6 linked regions of the Nothobranchius furzeri genome follow. Each later gene encodes a partner of the first gene's protein in a complex. Links are inferred from orthologs where the notes say so. Each region holds a gene or a part of one and is shown on either strand. Other genes may lie near its edges. The genes, in order: mediator of RNA polymerase II transcription subunit 13-like, med24, med20, med4, cdk8 and med25.

The links.
Region 2: mediator of RNA polymerase II transcription subunit 13-like (region 1) and med24 share a complex: the UniProt entries of both Homo sapiens proteins name them as parts of the mediator complex. The link is inferred for Nothobranchius furzeri from reciprocal best matches to the Homo sapiens genes MED13 and MED24.
Region 3: mediator of RNA polymerase II transcription subunit 13-like (region 1) and med20 share a complex: the UniProt entries of both Homo sapiens proteins name them as parts of the mediator complex. The link is inferred for Nothobranchius furzeri from reciprocal best matches to the Homo sapiens genes MED13 and MED20.
Region 4: mediator of RNA polymerase II transcription subunit 13-like (region 1) and med4 share a complex: the UniProt entries of both Homo sapiens proteins name them as parts of the mediator complex. The link is inferred for Nothobranchius furzeri from reciprocal best matches to the Homo sapiens genes MED13 and MED4.
Region 5: the proteins of mediator of RNA polymerase II transcription subunit 13-like (region 1) and cdk8 are in contact, whole or in part, in a cryo-EM structure (PDB 8TQC), measured with the Homo sapiens proteins. The link is inferred for Nothobranchius furzeri from reciprocal best matches to the Homo sapiens genes MED13 and CDK8. Residues at the interface, in NP_005112.2 of Homo sapiens: Thr1616, Met1617, Asp1618, Arg1619, Lys1621, Val1622, Gly1623, Ile1624, Pro1625, Thr1626, Asp1627, Gly1628, Asp1629, Ser1630, Val1732, Lys1733, Thr1734, Leu1735, Thr1736, Gly1737, Phe1738; in NP_001251.1 of Homo sapiens: Leu9, Glu12, Arg13, Arg71, Lys74, His75, Pro76, Leu81, Gln82, Lys83, Val84, Tyr133, Asp137, His140, Tyr141, Met330, Gln331, Phe335, Leu336, Leu340, Pro341, Thr342, Ser343, Asp344.
Region 6: mediator of RNA polymerase II transcription subunit 13-like (region 1) and med25 share a complex: the UniProt entries of both Homo sapiens proteins name them as parts of the mediator complex. The link is inferred for Nothobranchius furzeri from reciprocal best matches to the Homo sapiens genes MED13 and MED25.

Annotation. Positions count from the first base shown.
Region 1 is NC_091753.1:50,252,393-50,256,539, forward strand, and holds the start of mediator of RNA polymerase II transcription subunit 13-like, read right to left. Parts: upstream 2,801-4,147; 5' UTR 2,571-2,800; coding exon 2,505-2,570; intron 771-2,504; coding exon 536-770; intron 1-535. Other genes in the region: c18h3orf33 (protein C3orf33 homolog), read left to right, coding at 3,808-3,951. UniProt on the Homo sapiens protein: Component of the Mediator complex, a coactivator involved in the regulated transcription of nearly all RNA polymerase II-dependent genes.
Region 2 is NC_091756.1:31,514,767-31,516,945, forward strand, and holds the end of med24 (mediator of RNA polymerase II transcription subunit 24), read right to left. Parts: intron 2,130-2,179; coding exon 2,049-2,129; intron 1,585-2,048; coding exon of another isoform or gene 1,562-1,584; exon of another isoform or gene 1,370-1,561; intron 1,311-1,369; coding exon 1,162-1,310; intron 757-1,161; coding exon 640-756; 3' UTR 501-639; downstream 1-500. UniProt on the Homo sapiens protein: Component of the Mediator complex, a coactivator involved in the regulated transcription of nearly all RNA polymerase II-dependent genes.
Region 3 is NC_091743.1:46,651,293-46,655,524, reverse strand, and holds med20 (mediator of RNA polymerase II transcription subunit 20), read right to left. Parts: upstream 2,801-4,232; 5' UTR 2,709-2,800; coding exon 2,695-2,708; intron 2,283-2,694; coding exon 2,137-2,282; intron 942-2,136; coding exon 688-941; intron 605-687; coding exon 383-604; 3' UTR 194-382; downstream 1-193. Other genes in the region: bysl (bystin), read left to right, coding at 3,069-3,342, 3,645-3,801, 3,917-4,055. UniProt on the Homo sapiens protein: Component of the Mediator complex, a coactivator involved in the regulated transcription of nearly all RNA polymerase II-dependent genes.
Region 4 is NC_091754.1:35,365,939-35,370,160, reverse strand, and holds the start of med4 (mediator of RNA polymerase II transcription subunit 4), read right to left. Parts: upstream 2,801-4,222; 5' UTR 2,734-2,800; coding exon 2,660-2,733; intron 2,412-2,659; coding exon 2,345-2,411; intron 1-2,344. UniProt on the Homo sapiens protein: Component of the Mediator complex, a coactivator involved in the regulated transcription of nearly all RNA polymerase II-dependent genes.
Region 5 is NC_091747.1:51,014,490-51,017,780, reverse strand, and holds the end of cdk8 (cyclin-dependent kinase 8), read right to left. Parts: coding exon 3,163-3,291; intron 3,075-3,162; coding exon 2,931-3,074; intron 2,444-2,930; coding exon 2,374-2,443; intron 2,254-2,373; coding exon 2,181-2,253; intron 2,089-2,180; coding exon 1,991-2,088; intron 1,895-1,990; coding exon 1,816-1,894; intron 1,153-1,815; coding exon 994-1,152; intron 846-993; coding exon 720-845; 3' UTR 501-719; downstream 1-500.
Region 6 is NC_091745.1:8,280,534-8,284,033, reverse strand, and holds part of med25 (mediator of RNA polymerase II transcription subunit 25), read left to right. Parts: intron 1-893; coding exon 894-1,014; intron 1,015-1,149; coding exon 1,150-1,306; intron 1,307-2,390; coding exon 2,391-2,515; intron 2,516-2,656; coding exon 2,657-2,732; intron 2,733-3,500. UniProt on the Homo sapiens protein: Component of the Mediator complex, a coactivator involved in the regulated transcription of nearly all RNA polymerase II-dependent genes.

The sequences.
Region 1 (4,147 bases):
TAAATTTCTGCTGTTGGAGATTTTCAGACTAGAATCACCACAAGTGAGACGTTTCTGGGTTATTTACGGCAGAAATTAGCTGCAGAACTAGCTACTATAGAACTTTTGTTTGCAATTCTTGGTTATATCCGTCAGAATAATCATGAACTCTAAAAACAATGTAAAATGCTGCATAATCTAAGATTTTTTTGGGACTTTAAAAAATCTTTGTGACTGACCTAATTTGAACTAGCTGTTAGCTCCTCTGTCAGATCAGGACTAATCTACATTGCTCCAAACTAAAGCTGCTTGTTTTCTCTTTATTTTATGCATATAAAAGAGAAAATGTAATCAAAATTACAGTTTGACCATAATTCTAAAAAAAGAACAAACTAACCAATCTTAATTTATTTCTGTGATCATACCACCCACCCCTCAAGTAAACGTCACAATATTTCCATTTGGATCAATGAACATCAAAGTTGGTGAGAGTTAAACGGGATATTGTGCGAATCTCAAACCCGGCAGAAAACATGCAAATGATGCATTCACTTACTCGAAAGCTCATTGTGGATAAGCTCTGCAAAACTGGGGTCATCCCCCCACCAGAAAAGCCAAAGCTCCCTGCGACCCGGGGTGTGGTGCCTTCTCCACACACTTAGCACATCTGCTGCCAGGCATCGGCTGAAGCTACACAAGATCGGGTCCTCCTCGGTCACCGGGAAGAGGATGGGCGAAGAGGTGGGACCTTGCCACACAAAACGTCGCCATTTTATTCCAGTCAAATCAGCCTAAAGGGAAGAAAATATAAAAAAACAAAGTGTGAATAAAAATTTAAAACACAAAGGCAAATCCATGGCTATGCGTATGTGTTTTAGAAAGCTGAAGGCTGCTTTTTCTGTCTTATAGTAAAGCACTTTACATAATAAAGATAATAACAAGAGGATGGTTGACATTGTTGCACGCGGTGTATAGTTACGGACTGGGCCAACTTGTGACTGCCTAGTTGTATTATGAATAAACTTAGCAAGGCTCACAAAGTGCTGCACAACACTGCAATGCAAGGTGGCATCACTGGAAGTGACATGAGGTTCAACTTGTCCACAAACGTGTCAACAGATGAAGAGGAAAAGGCCTGAGCTGCAGGTGTCTTTCATCTGAGACACGTCTGACCCTCAGCACTTGTATTAGCATCAATGCACGGGGGGTTTCTATCAACAAATTAAAAATGAAGCTTTATGTGGTGGATGAACCAACTTATTTGTCCCTCTTTTCCATACAATCAACATGTTAAAAAAACTTGAAAAACATTTACATTTAGATATTTAAGCTTTTGTTTTTTAGAAAATAGAATGCACAAACATACCTGATGCAAAAATTAATAACAGAGAAGAACTTCAAAAGCTGATTAATTGAAGTATTTTACACAGTAACTGATCAAACTTTCTATTTCAAGATCATTTCAGAGCAAAGCCACCTTCTAGGAAAAAAACATTCTGTGTTTTCATTCATTTTGTTCTAAAACATGTAGACAACACTGAATGTTTCACTGCAAAAAAAAAGTAAGCATAAACTTGTAAACACATTTCATTTTAAGTTGCCAAGGCAGCTGACTTCATTCCAGACTTTTCCAGAGGTTAATTTCCAGACTGCAGCTGATTCTAGAACATTTCCTGAATTTTACTGTAAATATCCACTAAATAATTGTGAAATAGGCTAGTTAATGTGCACCTGGTATTCTGACAGTTATTTTAACACGTTTCTATAAAGGTCAAATGATCCAACTAACAAACAGAATAACACTCAGCATGGAAAACTCAAGATATAACCATGGAAAACCAACAGATGTCCATCCCACTAGTAATATAGATGTTATTATATTACACGTTAATTTTACGTGCATTTCATGATTAGTCAATAAATAATATCATGATCGCTAAGGTTTGTCTTCATTTTTCATGTTAAATAACTCCATAACTTAGCTACATTGTTTTGAAAAGCTTGTATGTTCACTTCTTTAGAATCTGATTTTTACATTTTTGAGTAATAAAATAGTAGGAAACGAAAGTCTGGTAACGCAAATGCGTTCCACACACTGCTCTTATTTCCATACATGTAACGGAAAATACAAAATAAAAACAATTTTATACTTTTTCAGACTGCAAAGAAAACCCTGTTATTCTGTTTATAGATCATTTAAAAACATATCCAACACAATTTAGAACAATCGGCTGTGTTTCAAACAATTCCCAACCCGTTATAAACATGTTGCTAACACTGATTATCCCTCTTCAACTGCAGTGTAAACATGGGCCAAAAGCACAATCGCAAACACGTCATTTTTTATAAAGTAGCCAAACAACATGTGTTTTGTGTGTTATTAAAACAAGCAGGATGACAATTTGAGACTTGAAGGCCCGATGCCTTCTCGCCAATCTGAAACTGACGTTACAAAGCTTGTTGCCTTCTGAGCCAAAATGGCTTTCTGGCCTTTCAGCAACACAACTAGCGCTAGCTAGGCTTACCAGGCAGAAGATGTTGGAGTGGCAATCCTCCAAACTGGCTCCGTTTGGTACAAAGCACGAACTCATCCTTTCACTGCGCGGTGGTAACGTTCAAGTCCATTGTCTCAACCACCTTTGGGGCAATAGCTGATAGGTGTAACTCGCAAGCGAAGCGACGTTCACTTGTAATTAAGTCAGCCAACTTCTAACCGGCGCTAGCTACTAGCCTGGCGGCTAAGCTAACATTAGACAGACAGCCAGATAGCGTCAACTGTAGGCTTCTAGCTAGTCGATTCATCAATCCTATTTGAAATGTATTGTCTGATCTGGTTAGCCGCAGAGCTGCGGCCACATCACATAAATATCAAACAATTAACGTTAACCTAACCAGAACAGACTAAAGTTAAAACAAACCCCAGAAATTTGAAAGAACGAGCTCGGAAACTAAAAAAACTTCATCACAAAAGCTTGGTCCCTGGTGTGCTAATGCTAACGTCAGCTAGCTGATCTGAAACAATTTCAAAGCAGAGGAACTCTCCCCTCCCCCTGATCTCAGCTAGCCTGCCAGCTAAATAAAACAATCAGCTACACCGCCCTCATTCCTTCTAAAACCTCAACGGAGCTCCGTCATGATAAAACTGTTCGTCAAACAGAATAAATGCCAAATCTCCGACACTACTCATCGGCTAATCGTCTCTGCCTGGATCCATGGGTGTCCTGCAGATTTCCATTATTTCACTACATGGATTGAATTCTTTAATGGCGGCCAGGAGGACAACTCTGCCTCTCAGCTCCCATTGGCCAATTTGTGTTGATGGGGGCGTTATCCGGCTTCAAGAAGCTCCATGACTTCACAGTTTACAAGATGAGAGCCTCAGTGCATCTGTCATACAGTGGTAACTCTTTACTTAACATGTCTCACTCTGCTGCCAGTGCTAGACGTTACCATTTTTATATAATATGTCAAGTTTATAAGGCGGCAATTTAGCTTTTGCACTTTTAAAACAAAGATATCAGCACTCTAATGTGTAATTGGGGATTAATGTGCAGATGTTAAATAATCTGTGGGCAATCTGAGTGGTTGCTGCTAGCACTAGCATCCTTAGCAAGTTAGCTAACTAGCCGAGCTTTTAACGTTCACAAACCTTTACGTTTTAAACCAAAGTCGACTGCACATGATGTTCTTTGGTTTTTTTTTTTTATGTAAACTTGATGCTGCTTTCGCTTCTACGTTGAGGGGCGGAGCTTCTGCTTACAGTCCCGTTTTAAACGTCCCTCCCCCAAAAAGGCGGAGCGTCAGACTAGTCGAGAAAATGTCAACAACATGCCGGAGCCCACCCGAGAAACAGAAACAGAGGAGGTTGTGAGTGACAGGCGACGGAGACGGGAAGAAAACCAGAACCAGCCGTCACGTAACGTCGTGTCCGTAGTTTCTCAATTCGCAGACGAGAATTTGTCGCTCGTGCGGGTAGGAGCCTCTTTTGTCTAGGATCGATGACGTATGTGGTCTCACGAGCTGAAACCTGCACATGTGGGGACATGTCTTTTAAGCTGCTCTTTTGCAACACACGATGTCTGGTGAATCACCACACCGGCCAGATATCCCATCGCCAGCTGTCAACAGTAGCCTTTAGTGCGCTTGTGTTACTGTCATTGCTGGGTGG
Region 2 (2,179 bases), on another chromosome or scaffold:
AAATCTATTTATATATTTATTTCAGAGGATGGATGCTAGATATTTATTTTTGCAGAAAAAAGGATCAATAATAATAATAATGTGTATTTTCTGAGTTCCTAATAAAAAGGCTTTCTTTTAAAGAGTGTTCCTTTTTGACGATGACACTGCAGTGACTCAACTAGGGGCAAATCTGGCTGACGCAGTCTGCCTCATCAATGAGTCTGGGCCAGAAATTCCAACAAAACTAATTTTATGACAAAAAAAGCACAACTGAAAGTGAAACAGAGGCTTTGGTGCCAGTGTTCCTTCCCCTCTGACAGACACTCATTGCCTTCAGGAAGTGTTGCAAGCAGGAGACGACCCACTGCGTCGCTCAGAGGATGACTCCATCGTACGCCGTGTCATGCGAAAGCCTTGTGAGCATGTGATCACGACGGTCAGATGTCAGCAGGGATCCCAGCCGCTTCCAGGAAAAGCATAAACAATTTGATCTGACGAAAACAACTAAGGAAGCTTGCTTCGGACAAACAGAACAAAGATCTGCATTTTTATTCTTAAGTGTATTTACATTGTCTTCTTGAAACATTGTTTTTATGTGAAAAAAAAACCCATAAAAAGTGCTCCTAAAAGAGAACTACACAGAACGTGGGTGATATTCTACAGAGCAGAGATGGCTTTGGCAGCGACTCTCCTCCCCAGAGGCAGAGTCAGGTCGGTGATAGCCAGGATGATTCTGGGTTTGGCCAAAGCGGGCAGCTTCACCAGCTCAGAGACCTAAACACACAAAAGGACAGGTGATTACTCTTGACCTTTGCTCAGCTGCTGAACCTTTGCTCTGTTTTATTTAAGTATCTGACTCATTTAACTCAGAATAAAGAGGAATGGTTTCTTCCCTGTTTCCTGACCAGTCTAATAACATGAGTCACATGACCAAGCTCTGATTTATAATCCTGTCCCAACTCCTTAACCATGAAGCATCCATGAACTTTTGACCTATCCCCATGCAGAGATTGCTCGCTGTAAACCACAAGCACAGATGTTTTTAGAGATGGAACACACAGTTCATGTAAACGCAGGAAATTCTAACTCTGCCCAGGAAAAATGTGAAGCAACAGCAACCTCTCTCCCTCCCTCCAGCCACTCCTTTGTGTCATCTCCCTCACCCTGCTCATAACTCACCATTGTGAAAGGCATGAACTGCAGGATGCTCCCACGGCTTCCCTGCTCTAGGCAGTCGACACATTCCTCCAGAAAACTCTGCACAAATTGGGTGTGAGGTCCGGCCATCTTAGAGCCCAAGATGGAGGAAACCAGGAGGAACAGGTTGGCTGAGGGGGAGGGGAGAGAGAGCAGACCACACCCTTTACACTACAGTGTATCATTCACACACACATTCACACACTGATGTTGATGGGCTACAATGTAGCCACAGCTGCCCTGGGGCGCACTGACAGAGGCGCCACCAGTCCCTCCGACCACCCCAAGGTGGGTTAAGTGTCTTGCCCAAGGACACAACAGCAGAATTCTCTGTCCGGAGCCGGGATCGAACCTGCAACCTTCCGATTACTGGACAACCCGCTCAACCTGTTGAGCTACTGCTGCCTGGAAGAAATAGGCACTTTTATTTTCTAAAATCACCACTGCAGATAAACTTTCTATGTGATCAAATGTTACCTTAAAAGTTTTCATTTATATTTATTATCTTTAAAAAACCTAAATGTGTCAATGTGTACATTTTGATGTATAAACTAAAAAGTGTCAAAAGATCAAGAAATGTAAAAACTGCTGCCAGTGGCTCATGAGGGTGACCACGGCAACCCCCCACAGACACCAGTGTAAGGCTTTCTGAACCTGAAACACCCTGATGAAGGCCACAAGCAGAAACCTGTTGTTGCTACTGTGTGATGTGTAGCTATCAAACCCTTTTCTTTTGTTTTATTTCAACAAATCGCACCAAACTCTGGTTAATTCTCCTCAAGATTTATATGTTTCTAAGTCTGAACATTTGATGACAGTGTCATGAGCAGAAGCTGGTGAGGAGGACGGCGCTGTGGGACGTGTCTCACCCAGGACTCTGTTGAGAGGGTCCCTCATGTTGACCGTGTGAAGCTGGGAGGCAGACAGGGAGCTGCTCATCGATCGATCTCCTACAGAGGAAACAGCTGATGAAATCACACGCTTTCATTTCATTCACTAA
Region 3 (4,232 bases), on another chromosome or scaffold:
CTCCTTTCATGCCATCACTCCTCATTATAAACTTCGTCTATCTGCACAGATTTTTTTTATTCGATTGAATGTTTTAAGAATTTCTTGCATATGTTACAGGATTTTGTTCTTCTTTGCTCCTGATGTGAATGATTGCTGCTGTGACACCAACATTTCCCCACCGAGTGTAAGGAATTTTTACTTCTTGCAGAAATAGGTAGATTTTTGTCTTTATTTTTGTCTGTGTTGAGCATTTGCATCTATAGATTGTAGCTGTATTCCTTTTAACTGTATCAGGGTAAACAAATACAAAACTGAAGTTACAAAAATAGAACTATACAAATCATACGGTTTCCATAGGACCACATTTAACACACATCAATACAATCATTAAAAAATGTTATTAGTGCACATTGCTTCCTGTGATTTGTAACTTCCGTAGCTTGTTGAACAACTCCAGGTACTGAGTCATGGTGTCGACAGAGTCTGCTGGTGCAAAAAGACCCTCAGGCTTGGCAGCAAATACAGTGGGAAGCTCAGGAACATTGTTGCCAAGAAAAGACAGCATGAACTCCTTCATGAGGTTCCAGCAGTCCCCTGGAACCACACAGGGACAGTACTCCACCTGAGGAAAACACATCAAGGGTTAATCCTGTCAAAAAAGAGAACAATGGGCCTCTGGTCTAACTGATAATACCAAACTGTCACCTCCACTGATATCCCTCGAACACTGGAACTCATTGTGACCGTGCCAACTTTAATCAAGAAGTCACAGTAGCGATATCTCGAACCGCGACACTCCACCTTGTGTCCCTTGGCATTCTGGAAATGGGTCTTCAGCTTCACCATGAGGACGTCAAAGTTTGTGTCCGCTACCAAACAGGGTCCTCCTTCAAACAGAGCCAAGCAGCTCAGGGGAAATTCAGAGTTGTGCATTACATAAAGGAGCTTGGAGGGCTGACCTGTAACAAACCCAGACTTAAAGTGAGAAATTGCATGAAGAACAGCAAAATGTAACAATGCAATTTTTGCATAATGACTTTGCATGATTTTTTTATTTTTGGACACAGATTAGAGCAGCATGCTTATTAAGTTTAAAATTACACAAGTAAGTAGTAGAATCATACCATGTCCTGTTTATATAAATGTTGCTTATGAGGGATGCGAGAGCAGACACCTTTTTTTCTGGAGGACACTTGAGCTAAATTAGATCATGATTTACTGCTCTGCTAATGGACTCATTGGTGGAAACCTGGAAAAAAAAGACTAGTAGTAACTTAGAAAGATAAATGCCAAATCAAACGTTTATAGACCCCGGGTTGCGGATGTTTATAAAACATAAAAATAAAAACTATTTTTCAAGGAGCTTAATGTAAATGGCCTGTGTTTGTATAGCACCTTCACAGGGTTCTACATCCCCCCAAAGCACTTCACAACACAGTCACTCACACACACACATTCACACGCTGGTGGGAATGAGCTATGATGTCACTACAGATGCCCTGAGGCGCACTGACAAAGGCGAGGCTGCTGAGCACTGGTGCCATCGGCCCCTCTGACAACCACCAGCAGGCAAGGCAGGTTAAGTGTCTTGCCCAAGGACACAACAGCAGAATTCTTTGGTCTGAGCCGGGATCGAACCTGCAACCTTCTGGACAACCCGCTCTACCTCCTGAGCTACTGCTGTCCCATTTAAACAAATTTAAGCGGATTCTTGCAGTGGATGGGGCTTTTTAAATGTTCCTGACTTCTGGGGAAAGATACAGTGGAAACGTGGCTCATTTAACCTTGCATAACATAGTAATGAAGATTTACAGAAAACCTTTCTAAAACACACCAACTGTATTTTAATCTGGCTATTTTTACCCAATGGATGACTGTTTTTGTTAACCTTACAGAGAAATAAGATCAGTAAAAATGAAAATTACATAGCTTGACAATATATTTGTCACAAGGCACACATATCCTGGACAATTGAGTTTAAGTCAAATATTTGACATAATTATTAGAACATTTTCAAAAAGCAGAATTTAATCAAAGAAATATGACAAATTCCCCTGCAGCAAGTTGTATTAATAGCAATGCAGAAGACTATCCATCTAAAGCACCTAAACAACAGGAATGATAATATTTATATGGTTAATAGCTGAAAATTACCGCCAGCGTTTACTGTTGATTGATATGTTTCACAGTCTACACAGAAGTTGCCCTGCTTCACAGCTCCAAGCTGCTCCAGCTTCTTATGCAGAATGTCCACTGTCTGTTGGACACTCTTCCCCTCCGCCACGGGCACCTGGCAAACACTGCACAGCACAAGAACAACACAACACCGTGAAGCAACCTGTTCAAAATTGATCATGTGCAATAACATTTGAATGTCCTATTTCTGTTTACTCAATATGCTAAAATTCTGCTTACTGAACCCAACTAATATATATATTACTGTTCATTTTACATTTATATTATTTCTGTATTATTTTTTGTATAGTTTTCCATTTTGCACTAAAGAGAGTGGCACTCTAATTTCGCTGTACACCGTACAACGACAATAAACACTATTCTATTCAGTGTAAAACGGTTTGGAAGCAAATAAAGGCTACATTCACCGAGTTAGCTACACATGCCAAACGAAATCATATGCACAGCGTGATAAAATATATTACAAAAATATTATTACAGTTAGCATTTAACTACAACATAAGTAAATCTGCTTACCAAGTAACACCCATTGATTTCTCGCCTGCAAAAAACACTCGTGAAGCAATTACTTCCGGATTAACATTTACACTTCCGGTGCACGTAAACGACCTTGTTTCAGAAAATTAAAAAACAAACTCAAGAAACTTTATAATCATATTGCATAAATGTATGTTACATACAAACATATAAAATCAACATCATATAAAATGGTATGTTATATATATGTTTTTCAGTGCACAGACGTTACGTATATCGTCACTTCCGCCGTACGGTAATCTGCACGTGTAGAATACAGACTGTTTACAGAATTCTTTCTCCGCGTTGTTTGTGTCTCTAATGGTAAAACAAAACACGGACAGCGTCGTCGCAGCTTGAGTCACTCTTGAAAGATGCCGAAAGTGAAAAGAGCTAAAGGTGGCGGTGGAGGAGAGAAGAGTGGCGGAGGAGGAGCGGTGCCACTGGCCGACCAGATCCTCCAGGCGGACACGATCCGAGCCCGAGGCCGGGTGAAGAATCGAGACGCCCGGGTCGAAAGTGAGGACACCTACGTGGATGAACGTCTGTCAAGGAAAATCTTACAACAGGCCCGGATTCAACAAGAGGAGTTGCAGACCGAGTATGGCCTGGCACCTGAGCAGAGGAAAGCACCAGTCACTGTTCTCGGTATGATGGAGGGTTTCGGACCTTAAATTGGCAGTATTTTTTTTAATTAAGTCTGGTTTATCAAGCGTAGAAACCACGAAAGTGTTTTTGTAATTAGTTATACGGTGTTACTTATGCAACATCCCTTTATTTCTCTGCAAAAATAAAACTAATGACGAATGTTTTTTATGTGGACAAAATGTCAGACGATCACAGAGAAAAATAGTTCCCAGCGTGATCTTCTCAGAACTATTTAGGTGAAATAAGTCTTTGCTGAATGCATGAATAATATTTTCTAATGTTGTCTGACCTGTTTATTTTAGGCCCTGAGTCCCAGGATGCTGACTCAGATGAAGATTGGCCAGTTCTGGGAGAAGCAGGTGCTGGGGATGGTGATGTGGAGGGTGATACTGAAGTCATCGTTGATTCTGATGATGAGAAGGCCATTGAGATGTTCATGAATAAAAACCCTCCAATGAGGCAAGATTTCTCACAACTTTGTTTGAATTCTAGCTGTTGGAATTTGCTAAAGTCCACTTTGAGGTTAAGTTTATGTTCGTATACTCAGCTGTTTTCCTCTTTGTGACCATCACAGGCGGACCTTAGCTGATATTATCATGGAGAAGATCACAGAGAAGCAAACCGAGGTGGGAACAGTGATGTCTGAGGTATCAGGGGTTCCAATGCCCCAGCTGGACCCTAGGGTGACCGAGGTCTACCGGGGTGTCGGTAAGGTAAGTTATACAGTTGTTTGTGTTATGTTGAAATGTGTTCTCCTGTTAAAAATGATCTCACCTACTTTGTTCTTTTCCCAGGGTATCTGCAGGTTTAAGGGTGCCAAATTTAAGACTTTTTAAGACCTTTTTAAGGCCACTTTGACCAAATCTAAGCTATAATTTCCGGCTATTGCC
Region 4 (4,222 bases), on another chromosome or scaffold:
CTGGTGCTTGTCAGGTGTGATGAGGCCGGAGATGATAAAAGGGTGGCAGATCTACCAAGGTGTGTGTGTGTATGGTCGACCTGTCATTGTGACACCCGGTTCTGGGGGGTGGGATCGTTCGCAGTTGGTTAGGACTGCCGGCGATGAAGACAGCTGAGTAGGTGGGCAGTGTTCCAGTGCTAGGACGGGAGGCTTGACGCCTTCTTTAGGTAGCGAGGGCTGGGAGTATTTGGGTGCCGAGACCACGCCGACATCTGCCACAGCAAACTCTGGCAGCCGGACCCGAGCCATGGACTCACCTGCCGTCCACGCAAGCTGAACCCCGGGGCGTTGGACGGTGTTGGAAGCTCAGACCCCGGGGAGGGGGTCGCATCGACTGGGCCAGCTAAGTACCTGATTGTTTGATTTTACTTATGCTGAACAGCTGGTTTTGTCTTAAAGGGACAAGAGGCAGTAGCCGACGAGTTCCACAGCGGAACTCGCCCGTGGTGTTTTATTATTCAGTTGTGCTAATAACGGGTATTTTTGATCATTTCTGCCTACTGGTGTTGTTTTAGGTTCTGACTGGAGGGTAAGACTTTCTGCCAGCGCACCCACTGAAACTTATATTAAAATACTTTACATAGAAGTAGGGTTGTCATGGTAACCGGTGTAGCAGTGAACTCTGGGGAAAAAAGTTGACAATAATAATAACCGCCTTGTTTTTAAAAAAACTATATTATCTCGGTGATTACAGTGGCTGCGGTGACCCTTACCAGCCACCGTATCATCTGCTGAAGTTGCCGGCGGCACATGCGCGCTTTGTTGTTTACAACCAAAACTTTCTTGAAGCTAAAGCTGAAATAATGGCCAAAGGAGGAGACGGCAGCGCTCAGGACATTTATTATCCCTCAAAGAAGACAAAGGGGGAAGTACGGGCATCTTTTGGATATTTGAAGAATGCCGAGGGAGTTGATAGAAGACGACTATCCTGTTTGCAGCACGTGCAGAAAAAGTGTCTGTGAAAGGCAGCAACGCTTCAAATCTCATGACACATCTGCGTGACCATCACCCACAACTCTACAGTCAACGCAAGGCAAGCTAACGTTAGCGTTTTAGCTAAAATGTGTGATCCGAGGATTTGGGTTGAGGGAGAATGCAACGAGTCGCTATATAAAGCAGCCGCAGCGCCGCTACCTGCATATAAACCGTGTCGACGCGGACACCCCCATGTTGAAATGACGCTATGCATTACGGGGCTCCCAGGGACAGATAAGAGTTGGTCTCTCTCCGAGAATAATTATGAATTTAACAATGATTACTGCTTGATGACATTTTCCCACATCTGCAAAGCTCACTGGAAGGACACAAACTGAGGACAATATTTTCCTGATATAGGGTTTATTACTCAAGTAAGGGTAAAAAATATCTGATTAGAAGGCTACTTGAGTGCTGAGTATCATCTGATCTAATATTTTTTAAATAATGACATCAAACAGACAACAAATAAGAAGTTATGGGCAAATATTGATACTTTAAAGACTAAAGAGGAAAAATGTAAACAAATAAACAACATAATTACACAATAACACATTTTAGACAAAATTTAGACACAAACTGAGGACAATATTTCCTGACATACAGGGTTTATTTAGTTGTCTGAAAATGTAGCACGTTTAAAAAAATACCGCGATAATACCGAAAACCGTGATAATTTTGGTCACAATAACCGTGAGGTTAAATTTTCACACCGTGACAACCCTACATAGGAGTGGTGTATGATGAACTATTTATGATCAGATCAAACAGGACATAAATGCTATGGAACCGGTTTTGTTCCAATTTTCAACATAATATGTTGCCATAGCACCACAGAGATGGAATTAAAGAAAATTAAATATTCCCCGAAATACGGGAAACATTCAGGATTGAGCACGTAAACTGAGCTTAGGCTCTGCCCGTGTTCTAATCAACACAGAAATGTATCTGTAACTGCTGGACTCTGATATTTAAAGAGCAAGTATCGTCTAAATTAACTTTTTTTTTGCTGACTTTTTTTTTTGCTGATGAACTGTATAAATGAGTGTCTAATAGTGTTTTAAATGTGTGTATTCATTATTTTAGCATTTTGGTGCATTTTCTTTAAAACTTAAAAATTCTGCCTAAATACCACAGTATAGCGCCACCTTCAGCTTAAAACATAGAGTTTGAGACATTTTGAATACACTTTAGCCAATGGCTGAAGAGAAAGATACTACGTAAACCAGTAGAGTACTACGTAGCAGCTCTGTGTCAAAGTTATAAAGCATCGAGAGTGTAATCCAACAGCCTTGGATCTGACTCCAGACCTGCTCCTGACCGTTACCTGCGTGTCGTCTCCGGGCTGAGGTAGCTTCTGAGATCTGGACAGAGCCAACATCTCGATCAACTCCCTGAAAATACACAGACAGACAGACAGACACACACACACACATAAAGAGAAGGGTTATATGTTGCCCGTTATAATAAAGGTTGCAAAAGACCCAGAAACACTGAACCATCTTTTACTTTCAGAGTAATCACCAGGAACTCTAGATCGGAACCGATGCCAACAGCTGAATAACGTGATCGATAATAAAATGACATCAGCTTAAAATATTAAATAAATAAACAAGAACGTTCTAATTATTTTTAATTTTACCGTGATAAAACCTCCAAGTCGTCCAACACAGACAAAAGTCTTTCTTTCGTTGATTTCTCCGCCACGGCCGCCATTTTCGGATCGCGCGGTCGGACCGGATGTTACGTCTCGTTCCGTTTCCTGTTGTGAAATTAGAGCCAGAGTTGCGACACTGCGGCCACGTGGTTCAGGGAGCTCTCAATAGTTCCAAACATCCCAGCGCCGTACGTCAGTTTGAACGGTGTACGGTGGGCAAATCACAAAAACTGAATATAGTCACATTGCCCCTGGTGATTTTAGGTAATTATTGAATATGGCCTGTATTTGATATACAGTATTATATAATAATATAATAATATATAATATTATATATATTATATTATATACTGCGATGGACTGGCTCTCTGTCCAGGGTGTCCACCGCCTGATTGCCTATTGCCCCCCCCCCCCCCCCCCCCCCCCCCCGGACAAAGTGGGTTCGGACAATGGTTGGATGGATTATATATTATGTCCTAATTCCTTCACAAAGGAGCCTATTTATATTTTTCCAAGCATTTGTAGGAAGACCGACACCCTTGACTGTTCTACGTTACAGGAATACAACAGTCCTAACACATTTAGACCACATACATTACTGTAATATGTTATAGAAATAAATTTGATGTAGTGTACACACTGCTCTACTAAAAGCATATTTAATAACTTTAAGTCCTACAAGAAGCCCTAAACTCGAGTTGTAATATCCATTTTAAAGTGGTTTATTGAAAGCTAGAATTCTGCTCCAGCTTACCTTGAAGAAATATGTAGCTGTTTATGTTTTGAATGATGATCTATTATGTTCAGTAGAATACATTTTACAGTCATTACTTTATATTTTTATGTGAAGACAGTACATGCATCCATGGATGTAATTTTCACTTGAGAAGTGGGGGGGGGGGGACACGGGGGGGGGGATCTTTACAGTATGCTGTAATGGGAAACAGGTTTCAACACAAACGGCTGTTTTCCGCTTGGTGTTAGAGCTCAACCAGTGTCAATTTAATATAGCGTAATATTGTTTTTGGATGGTAAAAAGTACAGGGGTCAAAACTTGATTTTGGAAAAAGTGGGGGGAACATGTCAGGGACATGTCCCCCCATTCCCCTCCCAAAATCACGTCCATGCATGCATCTATAACCCAGTTTATCTGGCTACTATAGCTACTAATTAAAAAGAAAAGTTCAATAAAACTGTATGGTCAAACACAGTAGATAATAGTGTGTTAATTGTGAAAAAATGAACACCAAATTTGTACAACATGTATAATAGCAGTTTTAATAAAGCATTTTACCAACATTATGTTTAGTCATTACAAATGCGCAAATAAGCTGAATCATTAATTATGAGCAATTTACTCAAGACCTAATGAAACTATTTTGAATAACTTTATTTTGATTATTATTGAAGGGACTTTACAGAGTTTTGAATTTTTATGCTCGCGATTGCCCCCTCAGGCCAAAAGCATAATGTCAGCTTCAATAGTAGGCTCATGCACGAGGCGCGCATGCTGTACGTGTGCACTCCTTAACAAAAATAACAGCTGAG
Region 5 (3,291 bases), on another chromosome or scaffold:
ACTTGTTTCATGTAAAATATTTAAATGCAATACAGTACAATGCATGTTCCATCTGCCATCCTCCATACGATTAGTTGGTTTTGTCGTCATGTTGTAAGGCTTACTCACAGTACACAGCAACTCACACACTCTGCTGTGTTACGCTTGTCATGAAAACAAAATCATGACAATAGATTAAATTAGAAACTACTAAAATCCTTACTCTGTCCTTTCTGAACAAAAAAAGCCTCCATCCCACAGCTGTGAGATCAAAAATCTCCCAGCCTGCTTTGCCGCAGTTCAGTCCTCAGCGGAGGCCCCTTACACACAAAAAAACAAAACAAATAGGAGGACTGAGAATCTGTTAACGTGGGCAGTCACGTAGCAGCTTTCGTCTCATCCAAGTTTTGACGGGACGAGGGGAACTGAAGCAGAGGAAAGGAGATGGCTCGTCTGTATTTTGCCTGATTAATGGAATATTTTATTTTTATCCTCTTGATCTGCCTTTCACCCATGAGGATTTGCTTTACGCTGTACTGGGATTGTGTTGTCTGACACTGGTGGAGTTGTTTTGTCTCTCTGAACTACCAGATCACAGCAGAGTGCCTTCAGAAGGTAGGGTGTGGGGTGTTGCACCATCCCCACATCCTTCAGTACATTCGTTCAGGCGGTCACAGAAATGGCTGTGTGAGTGTGTGTTCAGATTAGAAATGTGTGTGTTTATTTGTGGGAGGGGTGTTTCAGTAGCGGTGGGACTGGTGGGAGTACTGGGGTGGTTGTTGGGAGGTAGAGGAGTATCCCATGCTGCTTTGGGGCAGTGATGTGCTTGGTCCAGGATTCTGGTAGGCAGCATGTGGATTAGAGCGCTGCATGAACAACAACAACAACAAAAAAAGCTTTGTCAGTAAAAACTTCAAATTTCTTCTGTTTTCATCAGCAATTAGTTTCTTTATTTAGCATTTAGGACACAAGCTGTTCTGTTTGTGTGTCCAGATGAGCAGCAGAAAAGCTCACCTGGTAGTCTGAGGTCATAATGAGGCCACCTGAGGTAGTGGTGGGAGGGACAACCCGCACCTTCTTTGCAGGTGGGCCCTGGGTGTGGCTATTTTCTGGGTTGCCAGTGTGCCCCGCCCCGTTTGTGTGGTTGTTTCCCTGTTGCTGCTGCTGGTTCTTCTAAAACACCCAACAACAAAACAATCTAAACAATACTGTACATGTACTACAACATTTTAGTTTCTCATTTTTGCTTTGACAGGGGTGCTCCAAGGGGTGGCCAGGGATGGGGGGCCATGGCCACACCCTGGTAAATTGGTGGCCACCCCACTGCCCCCCACCAGGGAAGACCACCCCCCCACCTTCCCTAATAAATCACAATCATGTTCACACAAATTGTACATTCATCTTTTTTTAATTAGGACATACATTTTTACACTAACAAATAAATGTATTCTACTAAAAAAAAATTATCACAGCTTATATACTACGTATCCCATTGAGGCTCACTATATTTTTTCAAAAATATGTTCAAAAAGGTTTTGTTCAAACGACAACAGGCAAATTTTAAACTTAAAATTATAAAACAGCAAAATTTAAAACAAAAGCGGAAAAAAACTATGAACCTCTTAAATGTTTGTGTTCCTCAACTCTGAGGTAAATATGACGGACGCATAGGCCTTTAGTTCTAAATGAAAGATAACAAAGAAGCAATCGACAGCCACAGGGACCAATTTGGTGCCACCCCAAATTTATACTGCCCGCCCATGAGGATTATCTACGTACACCACTGCTTTTTGATTCAAATGCATTCATAAAATAAGTTTGTAAAGTAAATTTTACTTTGTCTCCTTTGTCCTCTGGCTCCTCCTCTGTCAAGAACTCTCTCTTGGGGTAGGGAATCTGACAACCTGCAAACACACTAGAAGAATGCAAAAACACCTCATCAACCTGTTCAGGAGTCTCCTCCGGCACGTTAGCCGCGCTAAAAGCCAGAACTAAATCTGCTGCAGCTCACTCAGACGTGGGAAGAGGCTCTTCTAAAAAGTACGGGTCCTGCATTGCCTGCTCCGATGTGATTCTACGGATGGGGTCCATGGTCAATAGTTTTTGCAGCTGCAATCAATAACGTGATTTTAATGTCAAACAAAAAGCCGTACCAGATATATCAGGCAGAGAAAGACTAAATCAAAAGCGCTTCAACTCACCAAGTGGAATGCTTTACTGTCTGGTTTAACTTTATGTTTTTCCATGTACTTTATAAGGCTGCAGTTTGTGTATCTGTATAAAAACAGGAGCAAACTATGAAGTGTGTGTAATTTTTGTGTATTAAGATATACTTTGCTTTGTTTTGATCTTAAAACAAATAAAAAACAGGACACAAGTGGTCTGCAGACTCACGTGTTCCTTCTGAAATCTTTCATCAGTGTGGAGTGCTCTGGCATCTTTTTGATGTCTTCCCAGTCTTTATCTGTTAGACCAAGGCAACAAAGGGTTAGGACGAAGGATCATTTATCTTTAAAGAAATTAAAAAATTATTTTTCCACAGCAACTTACAATTAAACAACATTTCTTTCATTTTTACACCAATTAGCTTTGGTTTTGTACTTAAACTCTGCAAATTTGCCCAAAATTTCTGCAGAAACCAAAGTGATCCTTCTAACTGACTGGTGAATTAAATAAATAGAGCGGCAGAGACGAGAAAAGAAAAAAGGAAAAGTGAAGCAGATTTTGTGAACTGGAAAGTATCGGTCCAAATGTAGGCCTGCAAGCAACCATCTCTAGGTTTGTGACTTGTATAAAGTCTGTGGTTTGATGTCCGGCGTCTACAGACCACATTAATACATTCAAAAACAGAGCAAGTAAAGACCGAGAAAATAATGCGTTTCATCACATTTCCTTCCAGAACATCGTAGCTGGAAAAATCTTGTGTAACACCAACACATTAACAGTCTCACCAGCAGGGAAGCCCATAACATTAAAGATTCGGTCCAGCTGGTCGTGGTGGTATGGGTTGCTGGTCTTGATGTCCTCCTGACGACAATGGAATATGGGCTCAGACGTTAGCAGCTCTGCAAAAATACAGCCAATCGCCCAGATGTCTGGGAGAAACGCACAGCACGTGCTGACATAAGTCAAAGCCACACCAATAAAAAACACGTGCAGAGCAGAAGTGGAAAAGGGTTTCACCGATGGCTTTGGTGTAGTGCCGAGCCCCCAGCAGCAGCTCAGGTGCTCTGTACCAGAACGTGACCACGACGGGGTCGAGATCAGCTAAAGGCTTCAGTGGTGAATTGAAGAGACGAGCAAACCCCATAT
Region 6 (3,500 bases), on another chromosome or scaffold:
GGCATGTCTCATTGAAAAAGAATGGAGGAGAGGTGATGTCTCCTCTCGTGTGCCGAGCCCATAACACTCGTGGACTCACCCATCTTGACTCACGATGGGGAATGCTGTTATTGGTTTAACGTCCAGGAAACAGCAGAGAACGTCTCAGCTAGTAGACGCTGTCACTGGGCGACATAGCGAAAATGTATCGTTATCTAAATTTCTGACTCTAATCAATATAGTTTTTCCCATGTCAATAAATTTGATAATAAAAGAAGAAAATTAAAAGATGCGTGTGGGTTGGCCATGTTCATGTCTCTTTAAGAAGCTGTACCACCTCGAGTCACATGACGACATGACTCAATGTAAGACGCGTGACAGCCCCATCTAGTGGTCCGTTTATAGTTATCGAGGTGAACTCCTCAATATACCGCGATATTGATTTTAGGCCGTATCGCCCAGCTCTAGTTGAAGCTAACCATTAGCATTAGCAACTTCACCACACAGCAGAAGCTCCTTCAGGCTTGTGTTATTTGCGGAGATGAAACATCTTTGTTGCAAGTCACTTGTAAAGTGGCGTTGCTGTTTTCTAATCTAGAGCGAGATGTCCAATATCATGAAATAAGACTCCAGCACCTGTCATTCGAAACTCAGCAACTTTTACTTCCTAGAAATGGTGCGCCGATACCCCCGATCGACTTACAAGGCTTTTCTTCCTACTAGAGACCACTGCACCTGTATTTGTTCAAGGAATAAACGACTCCTTTAAAGGTTACTCCAGAAAAATGATTAAACCAATAGGTGATGAGTTGGACTCTGCATTTTTCTTAAAACCATTTTTAACAATAAATCTGAGTGTAGTCTCAGCCTGCTATAGATGGGAATCTCAGCTCTGATCTGTGTGTTTGTTTCAGAGGTCAGACTCACAAAGTGTGTGTGCTGCTGTGTAACTCCCCCCCGTACCTGCTCCCTGCTGTGGAGAGCGTCAGCTACACTGGCTGCACCGCAGACAGCTTGGTCAAAATCATCAGAGATGTGAGTCGTCATCGGTTACTCTTCGACCTTAGCTTTGCTTAAATCTGCTTGTTGGTTTTAAGTTGTTTACGTTTGCTGTTGAGTCAGTAAAAAGAAAAACAATCACTTTAACGGGCCGTGTTTGATTGATTGTAGAGAGGAATTCACTTCTCTGTGGTTGCTCCTCGGAAACTGCCCGCTCTCAGAGCTTTGTTTGAGCGGGCATCTCCAGTGAGCGGGGCGGTTGAACCCCACCCCGACTACAGCCAGGATCCGTTCCACATGGTGCTGGTCAGAGGCATCTCGCTTCCACGTGAGAAACACTCATTTAAATCCAGAGTTCGTTACAGCAGGTAGAGCTCTGCTGTTGAACATTGTCCTATTTAGTTTTTGAACTGCTGTTTCAGGTCTTTTATTTGTGTTTACTATTGTGGAGAAAATGTTAATAAATGATGTATTAATTAGTATTTTAGAGCATATTCTCACTGAGAATGTTATGCTGATATGTTAGCTTCCATTGCCACCATTGTTATCAGCTAATGGTGCGTTCGCTTTCTCCTCGGAAATTCTAACTTCCCAGTAGGAAAAATCAAATGAAAAAGGACGGCAAAAGGAATGAAGATACACAGTAAATTTAGTTCACAGTAAAGATGTTTGCTTCAGTTTAACTATCAGCTTATAAAACTACAAGGACGATGTTAAAATACAAACTTGTATGTTATTTATCGTGATATTTATCAAATATGGTTATATATTGAGAAAAATATATATTTAATTATAAAAGAGAATTAAAATAATAAACACTCAAAAGTATCGAAAATTGGTACCGTTAAGTACCGGTATCGACTCGTAGGTACCGGGAATTAGTACCGGATCGATTCAAATGTCAAAGGTACCCATCCCTAATTCTCAGTGTGAGGACAGTATGAAGCAGGTAGAGATGTTAGGTTACACGTAGCTCCAAGCTGAGGTGATTTATTTTTGGGAGATGACACAGTGAGAGCTGAAGGCTCATCTCCAGAAACATTGAAAGTTACTCACTTAGATATTTAGCTTGGTTTATTGCTTATTTATGTCTATTTCTTTTAATCTTATATTGTTTGTAATTTTCATCTCGCTGCAGCTGATTTCTCAGAGGAGTCTTTATTTTAGGCTCCATTTGGGACAGCTTCCTTTAGACCACTAATGTGTCTGTGAGACACTGGCTGTTGAGTTTCACACTTTAATTTCTGCTTCACAGTTCTGCTGTAAATTAATTATTTTGGCAGGTTCAGCTTTCCTAAACAAGGAAATAGCGGTTATGAGGTTAATCTTAGCCATTTGGAGTGTTGAATGCTGAACAGAATTTGGCACACTAATGTTTCTCACCTGTAAATGGAGCTTTTCTGTGGTCACAGCTAACACAGGTGGAGGACCTGGACCGCTGAAGCCTGTGCTCCCCCCTCAACAGCTGAGTGTCAGCCAGCCTGTTGTTGGGCCTCCTCAGGCCCCTCCACCCATTAACACGCCCCACTCTTATCAGGTAAGGGCCACCCTGCTACCAAGCCCCCGGGGACTAAAGCTTGCCTCCTGCTTTTGGCTCGCTGTCAGAAAAGGGTTTCACATTTCTTCTGTAAAACACTCTCCAGCGCTGACTCTGGTTTTCCAATCTGTTTCCTGGCAGAATTTGACCTCCATGACTCCTGCTCATGTGGCTGCACAGAGGGCCGTCGAAGCAGCCAACAACCAGAAGAGTCGCTGTAAGTTAACAGTTGGCCTCCAGTTCCATTTTTGGTTCTTTATTAAAACACAGAGAAGGTTTCTCTTTACCTTGCTGACGGTTTCGTTTGCAGCTGCAAACATCTTCAGAGCTGACGCTGATGGTGGCGTCACTTCCTACTCCGTTTATCCGTGGGCAGCAGAGGACGTTGTCGCCCTCTGCTGCCCGCTCTCCCCCCTCCGATGATGCAGTCCCATGCGCGATCCAATGAGTAAACTCCATCGTCTCTGTTCAGGCCTCCAGGATTGTCGGGAGCAGATTACTGCTGCTATGAAGTTGAAGATTATTGCATCAGAATAAAAATACGTTTACTTTAGTCGACTAAAATAAGACTAAAGCTAAAACTAACTGGATGACTAAATTGTGACTAAAATTAAAAATTATTTTTGTCAAAAGATTTAAACTAAATTAAAATTTCTTGTCAAAATTAACACTGGTGGAGTTTAAAAAATATATATATATAAATTAGGGCTGGGACTTGATTAAAATTTTTAATCTAATTAATTACAGGCTTTGTAATTAATTAATCTCAATTAATCACATTTTAATCGTTCAGGAAAATGTGCTCTCAAAGTAAAACTTAATTAAAATTATGAGACAGAGAATCAAACATTAGACATGGTTATTACTGTAAACTAAAGCTTTTAAATAAAAAATGCATTTAAATTAATCAAATGTCACTGTGTGATATGAAACAAGACCCAAATCAACAAAAATTTATAATTACAAATAGAAAACACCTGAAAAG